Arabidopsis thaliana: one gene and its partners. The protein of the gene in region 1 interacts with the protein of each later gene in a biochemical or structural test. Each region holds a gene or a part of one and is shown on either strand. Other genes may lie near its edges.

What was found.
Region 2: the proteins of SAUR19 (region 1) and AT5G02760 form a complex in vitro, tested with the Arabidopsis thaliana proteins (one study listed by BioGRID).
Region 3: the proteins of SAUR19 (region 1) and AT1G22290 interact in far-western blotting, tested with the Arabidopsis thaliana proteins (one study listed by BioGRID).

Annotation. Positions count from the first base shown.
Region 1 is NC_003076.8:5,962,223-5,965,347, reverse strand, and holds SAUR19 (SAUR-like auxin-responsive protein family), read left to right. Parts: upstream 1-1,942; 5' UTR 1,943-2,042; coding exon 2,043-2,315; 3' UTR 2,316-2,575; downstream 2,576-3,125. UniProt on the Arabidopsis thaliana protein: Provide a mechanistic link between auxin and plasma membrane H(+)-ATPases (PM H(+)-ATPases, e.g.
Region 2 is NC_003076.8:623,248-627,758, forward strand, and holds AT5G02760 (Protein phosphatase 2C family protein), read left to right. Parts: upstream 1-2,006; 5' UTR 2,007-2,129; coding exon 2,130-2,421; intron 2,422-2,496; coding exon 2,497-2,858; intron 2,859-3,015; coding exon 3,016-3,252; intron 3,253-3,348; coding exon 3,349-3,570; 3' UTR 3,571-3,877; downstream 3,878-4,511. UniProt on the Arabidopsis thaliana protein: Dephosphorylates and represses plasma membrane H(+)-ATPases (PM H(+)-ATPases, e.g. AHA1 and AHA2), thus influencing negatively plant growth and fitness. Promotes the apical hook maintenance of etiolated seedlings.
Region 3 is NC_003070.9:7,876,072-7,879,760, reverse strand, and holds AT1G22290 (14-3-3 family protein), read left to right. Parts: upstream 1-1,798; 5' UTR 1,799-1,845; coding exon 1,846-1,912; intron 1,913-1,989; coding exon 1,990-2,308; intron 2,309-2,387; coding exon 2,388-2,454; intron 2,455-2,561; coding exon 2,562-2,638; intron 2,639-2,734; coding exon 2,735-2,787; coding exon of another isoform or gene 2,788-2,795; intron 2,796-2,863; coding exon 2,864-2,931; 3' UTR 2,932-3,121; downstream 3,122-3,689. Other genes in the region: GRF10 (general regulatory factor 10), read left to right, coding at 1-125, 474-511, 610-615.

The DNA of each region.
Region 1 (3,125 bases):
ACAATCAAGAACAGAACTTGCCAGCCATTTGCTTATTACTTCTCTGGCTTTTTATCATGAGATCCAATGAGAAATGTTTTGGAGAAGCTCAAGGTTGTGAAGATGATGGTGTAGGTGGCCTTGTTCCATGGCCGTTGGTGTTGAAATATGTCTCTTTATGTCTTTGAATTTTCCTCTGTCTGACAAAGAATGGGCGTGTTTAATTTTGAAGGGTGTTACTGATGCTGGTGAGTTTGTTTATACGCCAATGAGTGTGTATGAATCCTTCCATGTGGTGTATTTTGATCCAAAGAGAAAGAGTATTAGAGTAACCAAAATTAAAGGAATTGCAAATGACCTATATAGACGACTTAAAGGGCTCAGACTCGATTCTCTCAATGATCTCGATGTTTTCCCAAATAACATTGAGAGACTCTTGTTGTTGTAAGATCATTAATGGCTCAATGCTATTAATCACTTATGCGATATTAAGCTTCTTTGATTTCCTTAGGCTTTTCTTGTCATGATTTGTGATCATTCCTATGGTTTTACTATCATAACATGTTATAGAACAATTAATGTGGATACTGGATACTGCATGCAGACTATTGCATAAGATCCGTAAAACCCGAGACTGGTCTGTTCCTAGCATTTGTCAAGTGAGCCACGTCTCCTTCTTCAAATATTAAGATCAGGACGTACGACAAAAGCAACCAGAGAAATCACAACCAAGAACCACAAGCAAATGTAGCGAACTCAAACCCTCATGAAGTCTAGTTTAGCTTATCGTTGCTCGTCTTTTGTATCCACATTCATTTATCACGTTAGCATCTGGACGACAAAACCATCTAAACTCTCTTCTTATGTGTCCACTCTTACATCCACAAGTTTCAGAAGATTTCCGAGAGGCTTTTAAATTCGCTCAGGGAGTGCTAAAAAGGGTTTCTTGTAGTATACGAAACTCTCAAAACATCAATTCTAAGATGTGAGAAAGTGAAAAAAAATTGGTTATTAAGTGAGTGTCTTTACTATGCAGGATCATATTGATATACATTTTTGGTTATATTCCAAATATAGATTTTCATAAAATAATAGTTTTACATAAAATAGGTGTTGAAACTGTCCTTTTGCTTGTAGCCTCTACAGAAAAGCCGATAATCTTCTTTGAACTCAAGAGGCCTCTGAACAAAGCCATTTCTTGAGTCTGGAAAATCTAAATTTGAAGCTTCTGAGAAAAAGTTAGATGCTCAAAATTTTGAGGTCTGGATTGCTTCACTACTTGGTGAAGAGTTGGTTCTGTCTCTGGATGTATAAATAGATTGATAAAAGACTTCAAATCACCCTGAAACCATTCAAAGTAGGGGTGAGACATACACAAAGATAGTTTCACATGGTTCTGTTTTTTAGGTATGATAGATGACAAGTTGACAACGGAAGCTAATGAGCATTATCATCACTTCACAAGGGTCTGTCTTCTCCATGTCTGTATAATAAATGAAGAGAAGAAGTGAGGTATTCAGTCTCTTTTAGTTTTCATGTGTGGATATAATCAAAGAACAACTAGAGAGTGACATTGAATTGTTGTTCTGTTGTTGAATAACATTCAGGTCCCCACTTTAACTTCTTAATAAATCCATTTCGACTGCAGAGATTAGAGTACTATAGGACAAAGAACCAACCACCTAATCATCACAGAACCTGCTGTCTTTGTTCTTGCAAATATAGGGCACGTCTTATCTCAGAAACATTGAGAAAGCAAGCCCTTGTGAAATTTCACATGGAGATTATTTAAGTAGATAAATTTCATTAATGCATCTTTTCCAGATGGTAAAGACAGAACCATGTGAACTCTTGCTCTAGTCTGTCCCACGCTTCAAGACCACAGTTTCAATGACTTTTTCAGAGAAGTTTCAAATCGTTCATTGATATTTCTATATATACACCCATAACCCCATTATTTCTATCATCAACCAACAACAAGCATTCCAATAACTTGAATCTTTTCATACATCTTCAAGAGCTTCATAATAATTCAAACTTCTTTTATTTAAAATAAAATAAAAATGGCTTTCGTGAGAAGTCTATTGGGAGCAAAGAAGATTCTAAGCCGCTCCACCGCAGCAGGATCTGCGGCACCAAAAGGGTTTCTTGCGGTGTACGTAGGAGAGAGCCAGAAGAAGAGATATTTGGTGCCGCTCTCATACTTGAGCCAACCGTCATTTCAAGCTCTGCTCAGTAAATCCGAAGAAGAGTTTGGGTTTGCTCATCCGATGGGTGGCTTAACGATCCCTTGTCCCGAAGATACTTTCATCAATGTGACTTCTCGGCTCCAATGAAGATGATCCAACATTTTTTCCTTCAGTTAGAAATAGACTTATTCATTGTAAATACATGAGCTTTTTTCTCTTTCTTCTTGAAAGAGTTGTTCTAAAAGTGTAGAAAGTGAAATACAAAATTAATGTTATATACAAACTTCATGTCAATACATTTTTGATCGCTCATTGAAAAAGAAAGACGACACCAAATTCATCAATCAAAAAACTACTCTAATTATAGTTTCATGTTGATTAAAAACAATTAAGTGGAACATCTAACATCCGGATCCGTGGCGCAATGGTAGCGCGTCTGACTCCAGATCAGAAGGTTGCGTGTTCGATTCACGTCGGGTTCAATCCCCCGAACTTTATTCCGGATATCTTTTTGTTTTACCTGCTTATTTCCAATTTTTGCCTTTTGATGCACTACCCCCGGTTCGGGATTCTTGTTACTCTAACCGAGAATTTCAGATCCGGTTTTAGTATTTGTTTGCTACTCTGAATTAGACGGAAACAAATAACAAATGACCACTTTTAACTTACACAATTTATCAGTGGCTGGCTCTTACGTATAGTGTGGGGGTTACATTTAGTTGATGTCTCCAGTGACATTTGATTATAGTTTTCAAGATATTGTCAAGCAAAAAGGAAAAGAAATTTACTTTTGAATTCCAAACTTCTGTTTGTATTTTATTCTATAAATAACATTGCTTTCTCCTTCCAAATAATAAAGACAAGTATACATTGCCCAAAAAGGAAAACTATAGAGACACGCACTAGTTAGGGTTGATGTGGACTGGATCCGATCCCTTTCTTCAATGATTTATTGAT
Region 2 (4,511 bases), 5.3 Mb from region 1:
TGCTCCCTCAACCAAAAGACAAAACACAGTGCATCAATGGCCCAGCTGTCACCACAACTCTTTTTTTTTTTGATATAGGAACTTGTTTTGTTTTCTATTCTATAATATTTATTTATTCTTCTTTCTTGTTATCTTTTTAAATCAAAACGATCGAGACTGAAGTTGTTCAATTTTTTTCGTAATAAGGATAGGAAATTAATTAAGGATAGAGAGCACATGAAAATACACTGTATGTACTGTAATGGTGCATTCAAGGACCCTTCAATACGTTCCAAGGCCACATGTGATTCTCACAAAATGGTTCAATATTTATGAAAGTTATTTGTGAATATATGTTAAGATAAAATGTACCTGGACCATTCTTTCTATTTGTATTAGACTATCTTACACGTGATTTTCTTACTCTTTTGATTTGACTTCAATTAGATCTATATATTGCATCAAACTTTTTACCAAATTATGCGTCAAGTCACACCAATTGATGAGGTTGGCCTTATCGAACTAGTGGAACCGTCATATGCGAAACCAAATATAAGAAATGAATGAAAGACCTTTCAACAAAATTAATAAGCAAGTAGAAGTAAATCCAATATCAATATAACAATTGGTTAAACCTAAATTATATGCATCCAATACGAAAATTCTTTTTTTGGTATCTTTTAATCCGTTTATTATATTTGTGGAGCCTAAGTTGCGGATCCACTTGTATTCCTTATTTGAATCATTGTTATCATTTCTCATTGTTTGTGACTCGTGAGCTAGAAGAAACAAAAACAAAAGGATAACGTAATTTTGATATTTAAAGTAAACCACTATAAATCATTGTGTGTGTGTTTTTTCTTGTTTTAAAAGATCGAATTAGGGAGCCTAACATGTTTTTGTCTCAAGAGATTATTATCATTAAAAAAAACAAGTGGAAGTGGAAGTTGTGTAACCCACTTGTTGAATTCTTAACTTCGAAGCACAACAAAAAGATAGACGAAAAACGAAAACTCGATCTAACTTCGACATATGCATTAGATAACATATAGAAATTTAAACAATCTCGTTGATGAAATTGGTCTATCAACACACGACAGTGGTTCTCTCTACAGTAGCATCAAATCGGTGGATCCTTATGAACAGAAAAAACGAGGAGGGACAGAGGAAGGCCAATGAGGGGTCATGCAAAATGGAACTTAGCAAAAGTACCAAAAAGATCCATCCTCTTTGAAAATTCATTTCAGCCCCATAATTATCCATGACATGAATTTCGATCTGAATCTCACAACAAGTAAGAGATCAGCTTTTGATAACATTAAAGAAAAAGGTAAAAAAAAGAAAGACGAGAGACTGAGAAAAGGGCAAAGACCTGTAGGGGTTAAGACAGCTAAGAGTGTTCCTCAGTCGCCCCACAAATGTCTTCTCTCCTCTCTCTTCAGTCTTTCTCAGCTCTCAAATCTTTAAATGGTTCCAAGTTCAATGCTCCCAAAACCCACGCCCACACATGCATCCTATGACCTTTCCTTTTCTATCCATTTTCTTCCCACAAATTACCACTTTGCAAACAAAAGCCAAAAACTCATTTACAAGATGAGTTAATAAAGACACTAACACACAACCAATGTGAAAACAGACGTTTACATGAGATATTGTTACCTCTAAGAAGTCATTAATCATATAATGAGAACATTCTTGCTTCCTAAGTTTTTACAAGATTATTAACCTCTAAGAAAGGAGAGACACTTTTAACGCAATAATAACTACATGATGTTATAAATATAGGAGAGAGTAGAAAAGAATATGACAGCCCTACTAAGACAGAGAATCATCATCGAACAGTAAAGAGGAGAATCTCTGAATATCCACTTTAAACTACTGCCCTCTTGTCTTAACTCTCAGAACCATTTAATTTTTCAGTTATTTTGACCCATACCCTTTTTGGCCTCTTTCCCTGCTTTCCAACACCTTCACACTTACTCTAGGGCTTCCACGGCTATATATATATGGTCCCTTCCTTAAACTTGTATCTCATAATTCACAACCAGCACTGCTACTACTAGTTTATCATTATTCCATCAATTTATTCTATATAGAGTTCTTCTCTGTTTATATTACGATATTGCTCGAAGATTACATACCTGAGAAAGATGGTTAAACCCTGTTGGAGAATAGGTGCCGGTATGGAGAGAAGTAAGATCAATCCCACAAAGGTTGATGGTTTGACATGGTACAAAGATCTTGGTCTTCACACCTTTGGAGAGTTTTCCATGGCAATGATCCAAGCCAACAGTGTGATGGAGGATCAGTGCCAGATCGAATCAGGGCCGCTTACATTCAACAATCCGACAGTTCAAGGCACATTTGTTGGAGTTTACGATGGCCATGGAGGTCCAGAGGCTTCCAGATTCATTGCAGACAACATCTTCCCCAAGTTAAAGAGTAAGACACCGACTTTTTTTATTTCCTTTATTGTTGAATCTGCCAGGCACACTAACACTGGTCTCACATGAACAGAGTTTGCGTCCGAGGGTAGGGAGATTTCAGAGCAGGTGATCAGCAAAGCATTTGCCGAGACAGACAAAGATTTTCTCAAGACAGTGACGAAGCAATGGCCTACGAACCCACAGATGGCATCAGTGGGGTCATGTTGCTTGGCAGGAGTGATATGCAACGGATTGGTGTATATTGCAAACACGGGAGATTCCAGAGCTGTGTTGGGCAGATCTGAGAGAGGTGGAGTGAGAGCTGTTCAGTTATCTGTAGAGCACAATGCCAATCTTGAGTCTGCGAGGCAAGAGCTATGGTCATTGCATCCTAATGACCCCACCATTCTTGTGATGAAGCACCGCTTGTGGCGTGTGAAAGGCGTTATCCAGGTAAACATTCATACATGATAACGCATCTGATAACCTGCACAGAGTTTTGCTTCATCAGTTTCTATGAAATACAAAAGCTTAAGAAAATCATATATTGAAGCCTATCTTGTGTAAGGATGTAAAACTGACTAGCAAATGTGTTATGACCTTTAACCAGGTCACAAGATCCATAGGTGATGCATACCTCAAAAGAGCAGAGTTCAACAGAGAACCTTTGCTGCCCAAATTCAGACTACCAGAACATTTCACTAAGCCAATCCTTAGTGCGGATCCATCAGTCACCATTACGCGGCTTAGCCCACAAGATGAGTTTATAATTCTTGCTTCAGATGGGCTTTGGGAGCATCTTAGCAACCAGGAAGCTGTTGATATTGTGCATAATTCCCCTCGACAAGTAAGTTCAATGCCTAACCCATATACAAATACGTTACATACTAGCACAATGCACACCAAGAACTATTCGTTAATACTAATACCTTCACAATCACAGGGAATAGCAAGGAGACTACTTAAAGCTGCATTGAAGGAAGCAGCAAAGAAAAGAGAGATGAGATACTCAGACCTAACAGAGATCCATCCTGGTGTAAGAAGGCATTTCCACGACGATATAACCGTTATTGTGGTCTATCTCAACCCCCACCCGGTCAAAACCAATTCTTGGGCTTCACCTCTGTCAATTAGAGGGGGATACCCGATGCATTCAACATCATGAACAGATCTTACGGCAAAAACACTTCCTGTGTCAAGGGCAATAAATTGGAGCCAGGGTCAAGAAAAGAACTAGTAGTATAGCTAGAAACAATATTAAGTTATGAGATCTTTGATATGTTCTCCACAAGAAAACATGAATTCTCATGTACCCCTGTATGCAAAATTATACACGAGGGTACTTGCATGCAATATCATCAATGTCAACGCTGGTAAAATTCGAAAGCGTTGCAACATATTGGAGTTTAGGCACAAAACAGTAGATAGCCAAGAAATGTGTTGAAACTTAACATTACATTCCCTTTATAAAAGTTTTCTGGCGCTTCATTCAAAATTAACAGAAAGCAAGTATCAACAAAAGTTTATCTAAAATCTATTACAGAAACAAAGAAACTGTGTAGCATCAGAAGCCAGCAAAAACGCAGTCCCACGAACAGAGAATTTAGAATCTGAGGCTCTCTTTCCTTCAACTGCCATAGAGACCAGAGATATGGAAACCAACAAGTACATCTATAGTTCTAATGATGTCTTACATGACAAAGAAATTCTGAAGTAGCGGCTTGAGAGGTCATATGAAATTAAGTAACCTAAGAACGACACATGTTTATGGGATCCATTTTGCATGCAATATTCGCAATCAAGCACAGAACACCAGTAGACCAGCTAAATTTCGTAACCAAGACTAAGAAAAACTAGCAAAATAGGCACAACTCAAAAGTAATCAACACTTCTAATTTCTAACTAGTTCAAAACAGTAAAAAAATGTCTCCCTTACTTAAATATTTGCTGCATGCAGTACAAATTTTCAATTGCTGGTGCTTGTGCTTGATACGAACATGCAATACTAAAAGGACCATCCACATTCCAATATATTAAAACGAAATAAAGTTATTAATCAAACTATACTTACCACTCCAAGAACCTGCAACATGGAAAACATCAATA
Region 3 (3,689 bases), on another chromosome or scaffold:
ATTCGATGATGCAATTGCTGAACTTGACAGCCTCAACGAGGAATCATACAAAGACAGCACTCTTATTATGCAGCTACTTAGAGACAATCTCACCTTGTGGACTTCAGACCTTAATGAGGAAGGAGGTATTCTTATTTTCTTTTGTTTCCCTATCTCATGATCAAATGGTTTCCTTAGAATCAAATGAGCTGTTAAGAGCGTTACCTTGGAGTAAAAATGTTGATGTTTGGGAACTCGTAACCATTAACCATCTGTCTATATTTGAATTAAACCGTCCTTTATGCATGTATTGCTATGTAGATCTTTCATTTTAGTTTTGAAAGCCTCAACAAAAAACATACCAATCTACCATCTCATAGTTATTGGATTCTAGCTAATCTTGTAAAAGTTATATGTTTGTAGCAGAAAACATTACTAGTTTCTTGTTTCTCTTCCAAAGCTTTTTCACTCACCTTTTTTTTTTCCCCTCTTAGATGAGAGAACCAAAGGTGCTGATGAGCCTCAAGATGAGGTATGAAAAGCCAGTTTTGTTATAAGTTAAGCTACTTACTGATTTTTCCATTTTGCATTGACAATTAGACCACTCATGGAATTACTGAATCATTGCAGAACTAAATCCTCTGTGAGAAGAGAAACGACTCTTGCTGCATCCTGAATCTTGAAGTGAAGACAGTAAGTGTCGTTGTTTGTTACTCGAATGTGTAATTTTTAATCTATGTCTTTCTTGATGGTGTTTTCCAGATTCTTGAACTTTTCACAACACAACACTGCGTTGCGTATCTTCAACCCTCTTATGATGTGGTTGAATTCTGTTTTACGCTTAGTTTGCTTCTTTTGTTGTTGAATTGAGCCAGCAGGCATGATTTGGGTTTTTGTTTATCAGAATATTAGGCGTATCATGGTCTCAAAATTAAAAACCAAAACAGACAAAGCTTTATTCGAAGTTTGTAATAACTAATAACTCCTTGCAAAAATCATGAAAGTCTGAATTCAAGAGGCTCTTAATAATTTGCATAAGTGATCCCAAACTTCACAACTTTTCAATTTGTGGATGTTTGCCCTCTTTGTGGCCAAGGAATCATCCTCAAGTGTGTTTCTCTACGGTGGTTTGGTCCGTAAGTGTGTGACATAATAATGGTTTGGTTCTCCCAACATGACCCTCAAAAAGGATCTCTATGCTCTAAATATGGGACTCTTGTAAGTTGTAATTGTAACCAAATGCTATCACAAACTCTCTAACTCGTACCAACACTCATTGTGTCTAATCCAATCGAGAGCCCTCAAAGTCTAAAACATGTTAATCAAACTGTGAACCAGTTAATCCTTATAGAATCAGATATCTTTTTGTCAACCATCTAAATAACATTTTTGTCACGAATTGACCACTTCCCTCGAGAGATTTTGTAGTGTTTTCTTTAATATTTTTATATGTCCAATGAATAATAATTTCATACATCTATCGAAAACTTCAATTTTGAGCTACAAATGATCAATTCAAGTATTCACTTGGCCCAACTTCTAAATTCTTTAGGTGAGTTGTTGCTAGCACAACAAATGCTACAACTGTCAAAAGCAAAGAGACAACACCTTCAAATATTAGGTTTGACTAATAAACAGAGGATCATGGTGACGATCTTTGCCAACTCTCACCAAATCAACCTGAAACCTTCAAAACAGATTTGATGCTATTGGATCCAGCGCCAATAGGACACTTGTCATTAGCTCATTTACTTTTCTATTCTTTAAAATGATGAGTGAAATCGAAAAGTCTTGAGCAAGAAATACAGATTACAGTTTCTTCTTCTCCAAGCATCTATTGTTTAAGAGAGAAAAAGAAGAAAAGCCATGGAGAATGAACAATCAACGCACGTTCACTTCGCGAGTCTCTCTTCGTCAAGCGAGCGCTACAATGGTACTTTTTTTCCAGAACAACTTCTTGAATCTTAACATGCCTTCACATTACTCAATACTCCAAATGTTTTGTTGCAGAAACATTTGAAGAGATAAAGAAAGCGATGAAGAAAAGTGTTCAGCTTAAAGCGGAGCTATCAGCAAAGGAGAGAAATCTTGTATCAGTGGGGTACAAGAATGTGATTAGCGCAAGGAGAGCTTCATTGGAAATACTATCATCCATTGTGCAAAAGGAAGAGTCAAAAGGAAATGAGGAAAATGTCAAGAAGCTTAAGAATTATCGAAACAAGGTTGAAGATGAGCTTGCCAAAATTTGTAATGACATCCTGTCCGTCATCAATAAGCAACTCATTCCATCGTCTACCACTGTGGACTCCTCTGTTCTTTTCTACAATATGTGAGCGAAAATGTGTTGTTGTGGTGCTTGAGGCGCAAAAGTGTTGCACTGTTTTGGCTATACTTTATGTTCTTTCCAGGCTGGCAGACTTCAGTTCTAATGCTGAAAGCAAGGAAGCTACTGATCAGTCTCTTGATGCATATAAGGTCCTTGGCTCATGTTTGTTTTTGTGCCTTGAGCTCGGAACAAAATAAACTGAACAATATGTTTTGTGTTTTGGTAATGGCAATGTTGGTTGTTGTTACTGCTGCAGAGACTGGTTTGGTACCAACAGTTCCAGCTATACATGACTTTGAATTGGACTTCTGTTTTCTTAAACTCTCCTGAAAGGTTCCTTTGCTTACATGCATACATATGATTATTTAATGAAATCGGTGTGGTGTTACTTACTAACAGTCTGAATCAGTGAAACTGTGTGTTGTACAGTGCATACCAATTGGCAAAGCAAGCGTTCGATGATGCAATTAATGAATTTGACAGTAAGTGATGAATCAAACAAGGACATGACTCTTATTATACAGCTACTCAGAGACAATCTCAACATGTGGACTTTAGACCTCACAGAAAGAGAGGAGGTAATCTTTTTATTTCCCTATCTGCCTCCTCTGATGATAGATAGATAGTTTCCTTTGGAATCAATATAAGCCATTTTTGTGAAATTTTGTTAGTTCTTGTACTGTTATGAGGAGCCTAAACTTTGATTCGAATGTTAATGCTTGGGAACATATTTACGGCTTTGTGGATCTTTCATTGCTTAAACGCCAAGTTGTTGAATTCAAGCAAATTTTGTTGCAAGAAACCAATTAGCATACTAGTTTCTTGTTCTCTTCCAAATCATACACTCAACTTTTTTTTTGTTTCCTCTTATCCAAAAGTGGTGATGAGCCCCAAGAAAAAGGTATGAAAAAGCCAGTTATGTCAAAATTTAAGCTACTTGAAGATTATATTTTTCATTTTGGCATTGCTAATGGAGTTACTATACCATTGCAGAACTGAATCTTGAATCCTATGCGAGAAAAGAAACGACTCTTGATGCATATCCTGAGTCAAGATGGGTTGGAATCTGTTTTACACTTAACTTGCTTCTCCTGTGTTGAAATTTCAGAATATAAGACACCATTTGGGGTTTTGTTTGTCGGAGTATACCTAAAGAATCATTGCTTGTCACCGACGTTTCTTCATTCTTTCTTTTTATAGCCAAATGAATACTATAATCCCATTGGAGCACTGAGGAAGAAAACTCGAGAATTGCTTGGTACATCTTCCTCTATAGCAGTTGCAAACAGTTCCACAAATAAAACACAATGAAAGTTTTTCAACGCCTAAGCTAAGTCTTTCAATAATGAAACCCTTTTCAGTGATAAATTTCTGCAACTATTTG